3 linked regions of the Elephas maximus indicus genome follow. The protein of the gene in region 1 binds, or shares a complex with, the protein of each later gene. Links are inferred from orthologs where the notes say so. Each region holds a gene or a part of one and is shown in the gene's direction. Other genes may lie near its edges. The genes, in order: RRS1, HEATR3 and RPF2.

Region 1 (3,922 bases):
TCAGTGGGCTAGGGTTAATAACAATTATAGCTAGCATTTATTGAATACTTAGTATGTACCAGGAACTAATGTTTCATATTTTTTAAAGTGTCATTATTTGACCCTTTTAACAACCCTGAGGTAACCTCATTTTGAGAATGTGCAGGGCTTAGAGACGTCATGCTTAGTAGAAAGTGAAAAAGGAGAGCCTCAATGAGATAGACTGACATAGTGGCTGCAACAATGGGCTCGAACATACCTATTATTATGAGGATGGCACAGGACTGGGCAACGTTTCGTTCTGTTATACATGGGGTCACTATGAGTTGGAACTTACTAGACAGCACCTAACAACAGGGCTTGAAGAGGTTATAAACAACCTGTCCAGGATATATGTAAACAGTAAACTCAGATCTGATCTTAGGTGATTTGACTCAAGAACCTGGTGCTTAACCGCAATGTAACACTGCCTCTTCAACTTACCTCCCAGAGCCATCATGAATATTAAATAATTAGCTTTAGGCTGACATGCATTGACCAGTTCGCCCATGTTCCAGGGCCTAGTCTAAGCCTCCCTTGGGGCACATTAGCTTATTTAGCTTCCTAACAGTCTCGCATCTTACACGTTTTAAAATAGGCCCAGACAAGTTAAACAGAGGAAGGTCAAACTGCTCCTAAGTGGCAAATTCGAGACGTCCCTGGTGCTCTTTAGCTAAAGCCCCGGAGCTCTGAAGTACCAGCCATCTGCCCGCTCCCAAACCGACCCAAACCTTCTTCTGCACTTAGCTCTACGTTTATCTGTGCGATGTGTCCACACCTAGAACCTGGTGAGCGGATTAGGGCCCAAGAACAGCTGGGTGGCTACAAATCTTTGCAAGATATTTAACCTGAACTTGTAACACCGTCGCTCCGGAACGCCCTTCATCTCCTGCCCTAGCAATTGGCCCCGCCCCGAGGCCCCGCCCCGAGGCCCCCACCCGCAATCTCGGAGCCGCGGTCCCAATCAGGCTCTGGAACTTGTAGTCCGCGCAACTCGTGCCAGCTCCGCCTACATCCGGGCGCAAGTCGAACGGCCCTGCCTCTAATACCATAAACTCTCCAACACCGCCCTCTGCCGGCTTTTGGGGAAAGGTCACCCAGACGGCAAGCCGGTTCCGGATGCTCCGGAAGTGAAGCTTTCTTTTCCGGACCGAGCATCTGGGCGTCTGCACGTGGTTGTTTTGCCGGACTTGAACCGGCGCCGGCGGAAAAGTGAGTTCAGGCTCAGCCTCAGAGCTAGTGAGCTGAACCAGAGCCATGGAGAGTCAGAGCGTGGAGGAGCTACTAGCAAAGGCGGAGCGGGACGAGGCAGAAAAGCTGCAGCGTATCACGGTGCATAAGGAACTGGAATTGGAGTTTGACTTAGGCAATTTGTTGGCCTCAGACCGGAACCCCCCAACGGGACTGCGGTGCGCGGGACCCACACTGGAGGCTGAGCTGCGGAGCTTGGCGCGGGACAACACGCAGCTGCTCATCAATCAGCTGTGGCAGCTGCCCACGGAGCGCGTGGAGGAGGCGCTAGTGGCACGGCTGCCCGAGCCCACCACGCGCCTGCCTCGCGAGAAGCCGGTGCCCCGGCCGCGGCCGCTTACGCGCTGGCAGCAGTTTGCGCGCCTGAAAGGCATACGACCCAAGAAGAAGACCAATCTGGTGTGGGACGAGGTGAGCGGTCAGTGGCGGCGCCGCTGGGGCTACCAGCGCGCCCGCGACGACACCAAGGAGTGGCTGATCGAGGTGCCTGGCAGGGCCGACCCCTTGGAGGACCAGTTCGCCAAGCGGGTTCAGGCCAAGAAGGAACGGGTGGCCAAGAACGAACTGAACCGGCTGCGTAACCTGGCCCGTGCACACAAAATGCAGCTACCCAGTGCGGCCGGCATGCACCCAACTGGACACCAGAGCAAGGAGGAGCTGGGCCGCGCCATGCAAGTGGCCAAAGTCTCTACCGCTTCTGTGGGACGCTTCCAGGAGCGTCTGCCCAAGGAGAAGGCGCCTCGGGGCTCCGGCAAGAAGAGGAAGTTTCAGCCTCTCTTCGGGGACTTTGCAGCCGAGAAGAAGAGCCAGTTGGAGCTGCTGCGAGTCATGAACAGCAAAAAGCCTCAGCTGGACGTGACGAGGGCCACCAATAAGCAGATGAGGGAGGAGGACCAGGAGGAGGCCGCCAAGAAGAGAAAGATGAGCCAGAAGGGCAAGAGAAAGGGGGGTCGGCAGGGCCCTGGGGGCAAGAGGAAAGGGGGCCCGCCCCACCTGGAAGGGAGGAGAAAAGGGGGCTTTGGAGGCAAGATTAATTCTGGGCCTCCTGGCTTGGGTGGCAAAAAGAAGGGAGGCCAGCACCAAGGAGGAAAGAGGAGGAAGTAATAGTTTTCACCCTTGGGTCCCCTCTGTAAACCAAAAACTATGCTAAACGTTAAACTTAAAGTAGCGGGATGCACAAGAAAGTGGCAGCTGCCTTCATTGAACTTGAGGTTAAAGGGACAGTGTTGCCCTCCCTTCAAGAGGGTATTTTAAGTGTTGGACTCTACAAATGAGTGTTATTCCTGCAACGGAGGGTTTGGCTGGAGTTTAAAGGACGCGTTTGAGGGCATCAGAATTAGGGCAAGAATTTGATGGACAGTGGGAATGAGTCTATTCTTAAAACAGCCTTTTTCTTTTTAATGTTGGCTATAGGGCAAGAGAGAGTTGGTCATATATCAGAGACTTACTGATTTATACGTTTCTTCATTTTTATCAAAGCAAAGGGAAAGGAAAGATTACAAACATTTTCTCAAGTGGGCTTTAAAGTAACTATTTTAAAGGTTATTTAATAAAGCTGTGTCTGTATCCAGTGTTACTTTTAACTTCTTTTGGTAGAAATCAAGTGAAACCTGTCATCTGAATACCAGGTATAGAATCTTTTTATTCATTTTAGAAAAAACACAAAGCAGCTATATTATGGTTTCAGAGAGACCACTTTAGTTAGAAAAACTCATACTTGTTTTGTTACCAAGTGTATTGAAGGTGTACAACAGATGTTTGTTTGAAAAAAAGATATTAAGCTTTTTCACGCTTTGAAAACTATTGGTTCACTGTAAATATAAGTGTGGGCGTAACTAAATAATGCTAATAATCCTCATTAATCCAGAAAATATTTAAAGTTTTCTGGATATTTAAGTCCCTAATTTGTTTTTCTTTTGGTTTATTTTCTTTTGTTTTTAGCTTCATGTTAAATAGGGTACCAGAGAAAGAGACCCACAAAGTCTTTAATTGGATCATTGTTATTTTTTGTTTTATCTGTCAGATTGACCTGAGCTGGTTTGATTAGAGGAGTCCCTAGGTGGTTCGCTCAACTGCCAAACAGATTTGGAGTTTTGAGTTCACCCACAAGCACCTCGGAAGAAAGGCCTGGCCATCTGTTTCTGAAAAATCAGTCATTGAGAGCCCTGTGGAGCACTGTCTGCGACACACAGGGTCGCCATGACCAGAGTTGACTCCTTGGCGGCTGCTGTGGTGGTGCTTTGATTAGAAGGGAAAATGTTTATGGCTGTCCTGGTGTACTTTTCTGCCCATCAGTCTCTTTCCCTAATAAAGATCTGAAAAGAATTCATAGTTGATCTAAAACCCAGGGGCACTTTTGTGCTGCTGTAGAGCAAAGGGCCACCCAGCTGTTTTTAGTCTGACAGTTGATAGGAAAAGGGAGAATTTGTCTTTCAGTTTTTCTGTGTAGTCTCTTACAAAGGTACTTGTAGAGGTTTCTGTGAAAAAAAAATCAGATTTCATTGTCGATGTGTAACGGTTATTAAAAACAAAGACGTTCAAATGTTACTGTCTTCAGATACTTTCTGATTAAATTAAAGGTGGAGGTTTTTGGTTTGGGCCATCATTAACCAAGTTTTCCCCTGAGAATGATAGGAACATGACACTGTTAAGG
Region 2 (3,922 bases), on another chromosome or scaffold:
AAGACATGGAAGCTCTAAATGCCACAATCAACCAACAGAACACTCCACCCAACAGCAGCCAAGTATTTTTTCTTTTCCAATGCACATGGAACATTCTGCAGAATAGACCACATATTAGGCCACAAAGCAAATGTTAACAGAATCCAAAACATCAAAATATTACAAAGCATCGTTTCTGACCATAAAGCCATAAAAGTAGAAATCAATAACAGAAAAAGCAAGGAAAAAAAAATCAAACACATGGAAACTGAACAAGACCTTGCTCACAAACTACTGGGTTTTAGAAGAAATTAAGGATGGAATAAAGAAATTTACAAAATCAAATGAGAATGAAAACACACCCTACTAGAACTTTTGGGACACAGCAAAAGCAGCGCTTAGAGGTCAATTTATAGCAATAAACGCACACATCCAAAAAGAAGGGCCAAAATCAAAACATTAACCCTACAACCCTAGAAAGGGAGCAGCAAAAGAAGCCCTCAGGCATCAGAAGAAAGGAAATAATAAAAATTGGAGAAGAATTAAGTGAAATAGAGAATAGAAAAACAATTGAATGAGTTAACAAGACCAAAAGCTGCTGCTTCGAAAAGATCAACAAAACCGATAAACCACTGGCCAAATTGACAAAAGAAAAACAGGACAGGAAGCAAATAACCCAAATAAGAAATGAGATGGGAGATGTCACAACAGACCCAACTGGAATTAAAAGAATCATAACAGAATACTATGAAAAACTGTACTCTAACAATTTAAAAACCTAGAGGAAATGGAAAAATTTCTGGGAACACACTACCTACCTAAACTAACACAAACACAGGTAGAACCACTAAATAAGCCTATAACAACAACAACAACAACAAAAAAGATTGAAAAGGTAATTTAAAAACTCCCAACAAAAAAAGCCCTGGCCCTAATGGCTTCACTGGAGAATTCCAAAACTTTCAAAGAAGAGTTAGCACCACTACTAAAGGCATTTCAGAGCATAGAAAAGGAATGGAATAACTCCCAAACTCATAACTTAAGCCTCACAATAGCCTTGCAAATTAGGTACTATTAATTCTATTTATTAGAAAGGAAATACAGGCTTGGCCGGGTTCAATAACTTGACAAACTCCACAAGGGCGGAAGGAGGCGGAATCCAGCCTCCTCCCACGTCCGCGGAAAACCACGGGACTCCACCCCTCTGCCGGGTCTGGCTCCGCCCATCCCCTCTTTTGCGCCTGCGCGCTCTCCGCGCCAGCCCCCTCCTCACCAGAGACGCACCACGCGCCTGCGCACTGCTTCCCCATGCGTGTTCGGTCCAGCTGAGCGGCACGAAGTCAGTCCCCTTTGGGACAAGTCCCTGTCACAGGCTTGGCAGCCCCCACCGTCTGCTGCTGTCCTCCTCGCTCCCTCTGCTCCCACAGCGCACACGCCATGGGCAAGAGCCGGACGAAGCGCTTCAAGCGACCTCAGTTCTCCCCCACGGGCGACTGTCAGGCTGAGGCGGCGGCGGACGGCACGGAGGGAGAGGAGGACGACGGCCCGGCGGCGGAGCTGTTGGAGAAGGTGAGGTGAGGGCCCGGCCGGGAGCGGGGGCAGGGCGGCGCGCCGTCCCCGGAGCCCTCGCGGGCGCTGTCCTCTCGGGGTCGCGCGGCTCCGCCCGTGCGTGCCCCGCCCTGACGTCCCGCCCGTGTCCGCAGCTCCAGCACCCGAGCGCCGAGGTCCGCGAGTGCGCCTGCGCGGGGCTGGCTCGGCTGGTGCAGCAGCGGCGGCTGTGCCCGGGGCTGGCTCGCCGGGACGCCGTGCGCATGCTCGGGCCGCTGCTGCTGGACCCCAGCCTGGCGGTGAGGGAGACGGCGGCCGGCGCGCTCCGGTGAGTGGGCGGCGGCGGGCGGGCGGCGGGCGGGCGGGCGTGCGGGGTGCGCCGCCAGCTCCCCCGGACCTCGCGCCCGGGCGGGAGCACCCTTCGTCCAGCGCGTCTGCCCCGCCTTCTCTTCTCAGCCCCACTGCGGCGGTGGGTGGGGAGGGGATTTGAGCCCGGACCCCGCCTGCACTGTCAGCCTGCTGCTTCCGGGCGACAGCCCCTTGCAGACGCCCTGGACTACGCCTCGCCCTTGCCTGCTCCTGGAAGCTCCGTGGAGCCCTGCGGTTGACTTAGCGCGTCCGCCCCCCTGCTCCTCTCTGAAGCGCGCAGGCCCGTCAGTGTGCCGGGACTTACTCTTGGGGCAGGGGATTTCGAGCAGGTAGGACAGGAGGGCGACGGACGGCCCCCTGCTTTCACAGAGCCTGTGTTGAGACAGGCAGGAAACTAGCAAACAGGTAGGTGAGAGCGTAGTGAGAGGTGCTGTGGGGAAACAGCCTGGTGAGTTCTCTCTAGATGACGTTTGAGCTGAGCCCTGAAGGACAGGAGAGCCAGGCCTGGGAAAAACGTGGTGAGGAGCGTTCATGACGTAGGGAGCAGCTAGGGGAAAGACGTGAAGGGACAAAGGGCGTGGTGCGTCAGAGAGCACAAAGGTTCGTGTGGCCCAGTAAAGCTGGGAGTGAGGAATTACAGGAGATGGGGCCGGAGAGGAGGACCGGGACCAGATAGTGTAGGTCCAGGGCTTACTCTAAGCAGGGAGTGACGTGATCTAACGATCACCCTAGTGGCTATGCAGAGAGTGGACTGCAGAGGGGGCAAGAGCAGTAGTATTTGTGGTTCTTATCGTAGCTCTGTATTTGCTATTTATGTCTCATTCAGTGGTTTAGCAAATGTATGTTGCATGCCTTCTGTATGCCAGGCACTGTGTTAGGCTCTGGCCGTGTGATAGTGAGCAAGACAGACATAGCCCTGGTCCATAGTGTATCTTAACAGTTTAATGAGGCAGATAGACATTAACCAAATGGTCACAGAAGTGTGTATTACAACTCACAATAATTACAAAGGGTACTGTGAGAAGTTCAGGGAAGAAAACCCTGAGGGAATGATGTTTGAGCTGAGAGCTGAAGGAGGAGAGAGGGTTAACCGTTCCATGGAGGAGTAGAAAAGCCCCCTCCCCACCAGATGTAGACACACTGGGAGCTCCTGGAAGATGGTGTGTGTCTTCTGATTTGTCTTTGTTTCCCCAGTGCCTAGCACAGTGCTGTGCGCTACGAAGGCGAGCATGTCTTTTCAGTTTAAAATTTAATTTAGCCAGGGCTGTTTCAGGGGATGTCATCCTCAGTAGCTTTACCCCTGCCCTTGAAATCTTGATTGCAAGAAAAGGCCCCTTCATAGATGATCAGGCCATGATTTATCCACACTGAGTAGGAAAAGTCTTCTCCCATCTCCGTTCCTATATTCATGAAGCTGTGTCCTGTCTCAGACCTTCTCTTCAGAACTGGGTGCTTACATGACAAGTCATTTGTTTACATCTCATAGGATGTAAACGAGGTTCCACAGCACTTTACAGAGGTAATAAGCGGATTTTCTCTCCAAAACCTTCAATATGGTTAACAATAGAAATACATTTGAGAGTTTGATAGAGTTTTGTGACATATGATCTGAATGTGAAATATATTTTAACTTCTTTTGTAGAAATCTCAGTGCTTGTGGCGGTTTTGAGGTTTGTGATGACATGGTGACTAAGGATGTCATGACGCCCCTAGTGGCACTGCTAAAAGAGGTATGCAGTTTTTAGAGCCTCTGGATGGTAGTTTCTAAATGTAGCTTTTCATATACAAACTTAGTTTCCTTTTTTTGATTTAGTAATTTGGTGTTAACTAATTTGTCTTCCCTCAAAATATCCTGTGAGGATTTAGTTTCTTTTCCTGGGAATACTCATCTACTTTCATTTCTTTGCTGGTCTCTGTTACTTTGTCTCCATCACCTTTATTGAAAAAGACCCTCCTATTTTTTTATGACTGGCTCTTTAGAGTTTAAACTTGATAACAATAAAAGTCATTAGCATTTATTGTTTTT
Region 3 (3,922 bases), on another chromosome or scaffold:
AAAATCAGCTTAGAATGAAAAAAAAAAGCAGTCCCATGGTTAGTTCATCAGGGTGGGAGTACAGATACAAAACCAGATGCAAATTTAACAGAGAACATTGCTTCTCCCAAGGTCATGCAACAGCTGTAAAATATAAGGACCCTCTCCTTGACTGATTACTTTCTTGTTTTTTATATCAATTATGCCACTCAGCCCACTTTGCCATACCCATCTATTCCTGGGACACCCAACTGCTAAATTGCTCTTGCTTCATGACAACATCCAAACCCTAGTTAATCCTCACTTCTCCTAATACCACCTCAAAAACAGCAACCAATCCAGAACTGTCAATATGTTACTTACACGGCCAAAAGAACTCTGCTACATGATTAAGGATCTTGAGATAAGGAGATTATCCTGGTTTATTCAGGTGGGCCCAGGAGTTAGAAAAAGGAGTTGTAACAATGGAAGCAGAGATTCTAGTGATGCACTTTGAAGATGGAGAAAGGGACCATGAGCCAAGAAATGAAGTCAGTTTCTAGAAGCTGGAAACCCCGGCGGCGTAATGGTTAAGCGCTACGGCTGCTAACCAAAGGGTTGGCAGGCATTCGAATCCACCAGGCGCCCCTTGGAAACTCTATGGGGCAGTTCTGCTTTGTTCTATAGGGTCGCTATGAGTCAGAATCGACTCGACAGCACTGGGTTTGGTTTTTTTGTTGTTGTTTGTTTTGTTTTCTAGAAGCTGGAAATGCCAAGGAATCAAATTCTCCCCTGGAGCCTCAAGAGGAATACAGCTCTACTGACATCTTGATTTCAGACCTGTGGTAGAATTTCATAATTCTGACCTCTAGAATGTAAAATAATAGATGTGTTTTTTTTTTTTTTAAGCCACCAACCAAAACCAAACCGGTTGTCGTGCAGTTGATTCCAACTCACATCAACCCTGTAAGACAGAGTAAAACTGCACCATAGGGTTTTCAAGGAGTGGCTGGTGGACTGGAACCGCTGACCTTTTGGTTAGCAGCCAAGCTCTTAACCACCACCAGGGCTCCTTTTAAAAGATGAATTTCATGGCATGTGAATTACATCTCTAAAAATTGGGAAAAAAATCATGATCAGCAGTATTATTCTCCGAGCACCTTTTGCGTCAGGTGCTGTGGTAGTCATAAACTACGCCCTCACTGATCTCACAGTTTAGTCAATAGTGTGCATGCCTCATTAATTTTTTTATTGTGATAAATATGTAAGTAACATAACATCTGCCATTTCAACAATATCTACATATACAGTTCAACGGTATCACATTGTTTTTAAGCATCCTGGGAAATTTTCTAAAGAATAACACCTGATCCCTGGATATTTGACCCCGAGTATATACGCAGTGAGAACCAGCGTTACTTAAAGTGTTACTTCGCAACTGTAACTCGCAGGAAAGAACCATGACACAAACTCATTACAAAAGGAACAGCAAGATTCGATCCAAAATGACCACCATCGTCTCCAAGAATCAACCGTGCGGCGGGCCGAGGAAGTGGCGTCACGCGAATTTCCGGTTCCTCTTGTTCCGGGGCACAGACCTACCGGAGTACTGGCGCGTCGCACGTGCGTTTACTGGCTCGGGTTGCGGTAGCGATGGATGCTTTGGACCGAGTGGTGTAAGTGCGTCGGGGTCGCCGTCCCGGAAACGTTGGGGACAGGGGCTTCTGTAGCGGGAAAGAGTGATATTGACTCTGCTTGCTTTCCTCTTGGCACCGCTTTCCTTTCTCACGGGCGTTGCCAGTGCTGTCCGGGTGGGGCTGTTCAGTCCTCCAAATCAGGTCTCGGTCTGCTCCGGCGGCCGGGAGACTAAGAGCGCCGAAGTCCACAAGTGGGAGCCGCGGGATGCAGGTGGGACGGAGACGTTTGTCGCTGCCTTCCTTGGAGATTAAAAACGCCTGGCTTCCGTAGAAGTGTGAGAATGGTACAGCGAGAGGTTAAGAGCACAGACCTCGGAACCTGACAGATCTAGGTGACAATGCGGACGCGTCCATTTAAAGGCTTGTAACTTTTTGCCACTTAATCTTCCTCAGTCTCAGTTTACTGTGTAAAATAGAGATTATAATAGTCATATTTAATAGAACTTTGAGGATTAGTTGCAAGAATGTTTGTAAAGACTTTTCTACAGCACGTAGAACATACCGCTTTTTCTTTTCCTCCCATTCTTGTACACTTTCTGAGTTATATTTGAGTGATACTGTTTTAGATTCATTCAGAAACTATTTATTGATCTCGTAGACATTCCTGCTATTTGCTATGGTTTTTTTCTTGCGACTTACCTGACGTAACATGTAATCAAAACAAGAGTTTTTCTTTTTAGTCATTCAGAGATTTCTGCCTACTTGTTATATAGTTGTCTAGATACTTTGACTACAGAGATGAATAAGGCTAGGTTACAGTCTAATTGGGCAACAAAAGCTATTGCCTTGATTATTGGTTAATGAGAAGTGAGAAACGACCTGAGATATAGAGTATATAACACTGTTATTGCCATATAGACACACTAAATGTTTCTTGTGTTTTTTCAACCAGTAAACGAGTACAAGTTTTATATGCACTTTGTCTGGAGGAGACTTAAAAAAAATCTGCATAGGAAACTAAATTGTACGTGTGCTGTTTTTCTTTTCTTTCCTGGACTGTTCGTAATACTAGAAGACGGAGAGTCACAGTTATTTAAGGAGGAGTTCTTTCTCGATGGCAGTGGGTTTTGGGTTTCTTTCAGTAGATGGCAAAAACTGTTGGAAAAGTGTAGTTAGCAGAAGTAACAGCACCGTTCCTGAACAGAAATGTGTAAAAACATGCTGCTTCTACAGCTACATCTTACAATCAGAATAATAGATTTATTTTCTCTTCGTGTTTTACTGAGTGATTAGAAATCTGGGATTTGAGGATTTGTCTGCTTACTAATGTGGACGTTACCACTCTGCCTCAATTGTCTGATGTGTAAAATGAAAATAATTGTACCTGTCTCATTGGGTTGTGGTGAGAACTAAGCCTTAAAACAGTGTATCTTTAAAAGCGTCAACCATTATTATTCCCCTTTGGTGGCAGAAATGTTTACTTTCTCAGAAGTAATGATGGAGTGGGACAGTATGTACCTCCTGGCAGGCATTATGGTCTAACACCTGGAAGAAAGAGAAGAAATAATTAGCCTACTATGTGGCTTTGAATTAATAAGCTGTGTTCAGTAAATGCCTACAGGTTCATCAGCAGTTTATGTGCAGGGTATAGTTTGACTGTTTTAAGATTGAAGAATAACAACAGTATACATTTGAGTCCTTTTTTTTTTTTTTAAATATGAAAAAGGTGAAAAGGCAGTAACATACCTGGGTTCTTAAAAGCTTACAAGCAGCCATTCAGGGTACAGCAATTAGTCTCTAATCGCCTGGAGCAACAGAGGAAGAAGGAGAGTTAGGAATAGGAGGAGGAAGTGGAATGGTGGCCAGTTGCCTCAGTAAACAACTGTGTCCTTTGCCATGAGACCAGAAGACCTGGATGGTGCCCAGCTACTATTACTGAACATCTTGATCAAAGATCCTAAGGAAGAATCCTGATCAATTGGGGGAAAATGCAGAACAAAATTTCAAATTCTCATGGAATTTAGGCTTTCTGGAGCGGTGGAGGCTGGATGAATCCCTGAGATGATTTAAACTTTAAACCAAAAATATCCTGTGTGGTCTTCTTAAAATCAAACAATAGTTTAGCTTAAATACTAAAGAAAGTCTTCTTGAGCATTGTACTCTTTTAAGATGTGTCTATATAGGATCAGATTGACAGTGGCAACTCAAAAGATTAGATAGAAAGCTTAGGGGGCAGTGAGTTTGTTAGTAGGGGACAAACAGCTCAGAAAAGGAGGGTGAGAATGCACGTCTCGAAGAATGTGATCAATGTCATGGAATTGTACATG

What was found.
Region 2: RRS1 (region 1) and HEATR3 share a complex: the UniProt entries of both Homo sapiens proteins name them as parts of the hexameric 5S RNP precursor complex. The link is inferred for Elephas maximus indicus from reciprocal best matches to the Homo sapiens genes RRS1 and HEATR3.
Region 3: RRS1 (region 1) and RPF2 share a complex: the UniProt entries of both Homo sapiens proteins name them as parts of the hexameric 5S RNP precursor complex. The link is inferred for Elephas maximus indicus from reciprocal best matches to the Homo sapiens genes RRS1 and RPF2.

Annotation. Positions count from the first base shown.
Region 1 is NC_064833.1:76,193,790-76,197,711, reverse strand, and holds RRS1 (ribosome biogenesis regulatory protein homolog), read left to right. Parts: upstream 1-1,170; 5' UTR 1,171-1,275; coding exon 1,276-2,373; 3' UTR 2,374-2,897; intron 2,898-3,292; 3' UTR 3,293-3,846; downstream 3,847-3,922. UniProt on the Homo sapiens protein: Involved in ribosomal large subunit assembly. May regulate the localization of the 5S RNP/5S ribonucleoprotein particle to the nucleolus.
Region 2 is NC_064839.1:5,604,897-5,608,818, reverse strand, and holds the start of HEATR3 (HEAT repeat-containing protein 3), read left to right. Parts: upstream 1-1,276; 5' UTR 1,277-1,416; coding exon 1,417-1,548; exon of another isoform or gene 1,549-1,553; intron 1,554-1,682; coding exon 1,683-1,855; intron 1,856-1,905; exon of another isoform or gene 1,906-2,301; intron 2,302-3,538; coding exon 3,539-3,626; intron 3,627-3,922. UniProt on the Homo sapiens protein: Plays a role in ribosome biogenesis and in nuclear import of the 60S ribosomal protein L5/large ribosomal subunit protein uL18 (RPL5). Required for proper erythrocyte maturation.
Region 3 is NC_064819.1:176,906,610-176,910,531, forward strand, and holds the start of RPF2 (ribosome production factor 2 homolog), read left to right. Parts: upstream 1-1,526; 5' UTR 1,527-1,611; coding exon 1,612-1,634; coding exon of another isoform or gene 1,635-1,638; intron 1,639-1,647; exon of another isoform or gene 1,648-2,015; intron 2,016-3,922. UniProt on the Homo sapiens protein: Involved in ribosomal large subunit assembly. May regulate the localization of the 5S RNP/5S ribonucleoprotein particle to the nucleolus.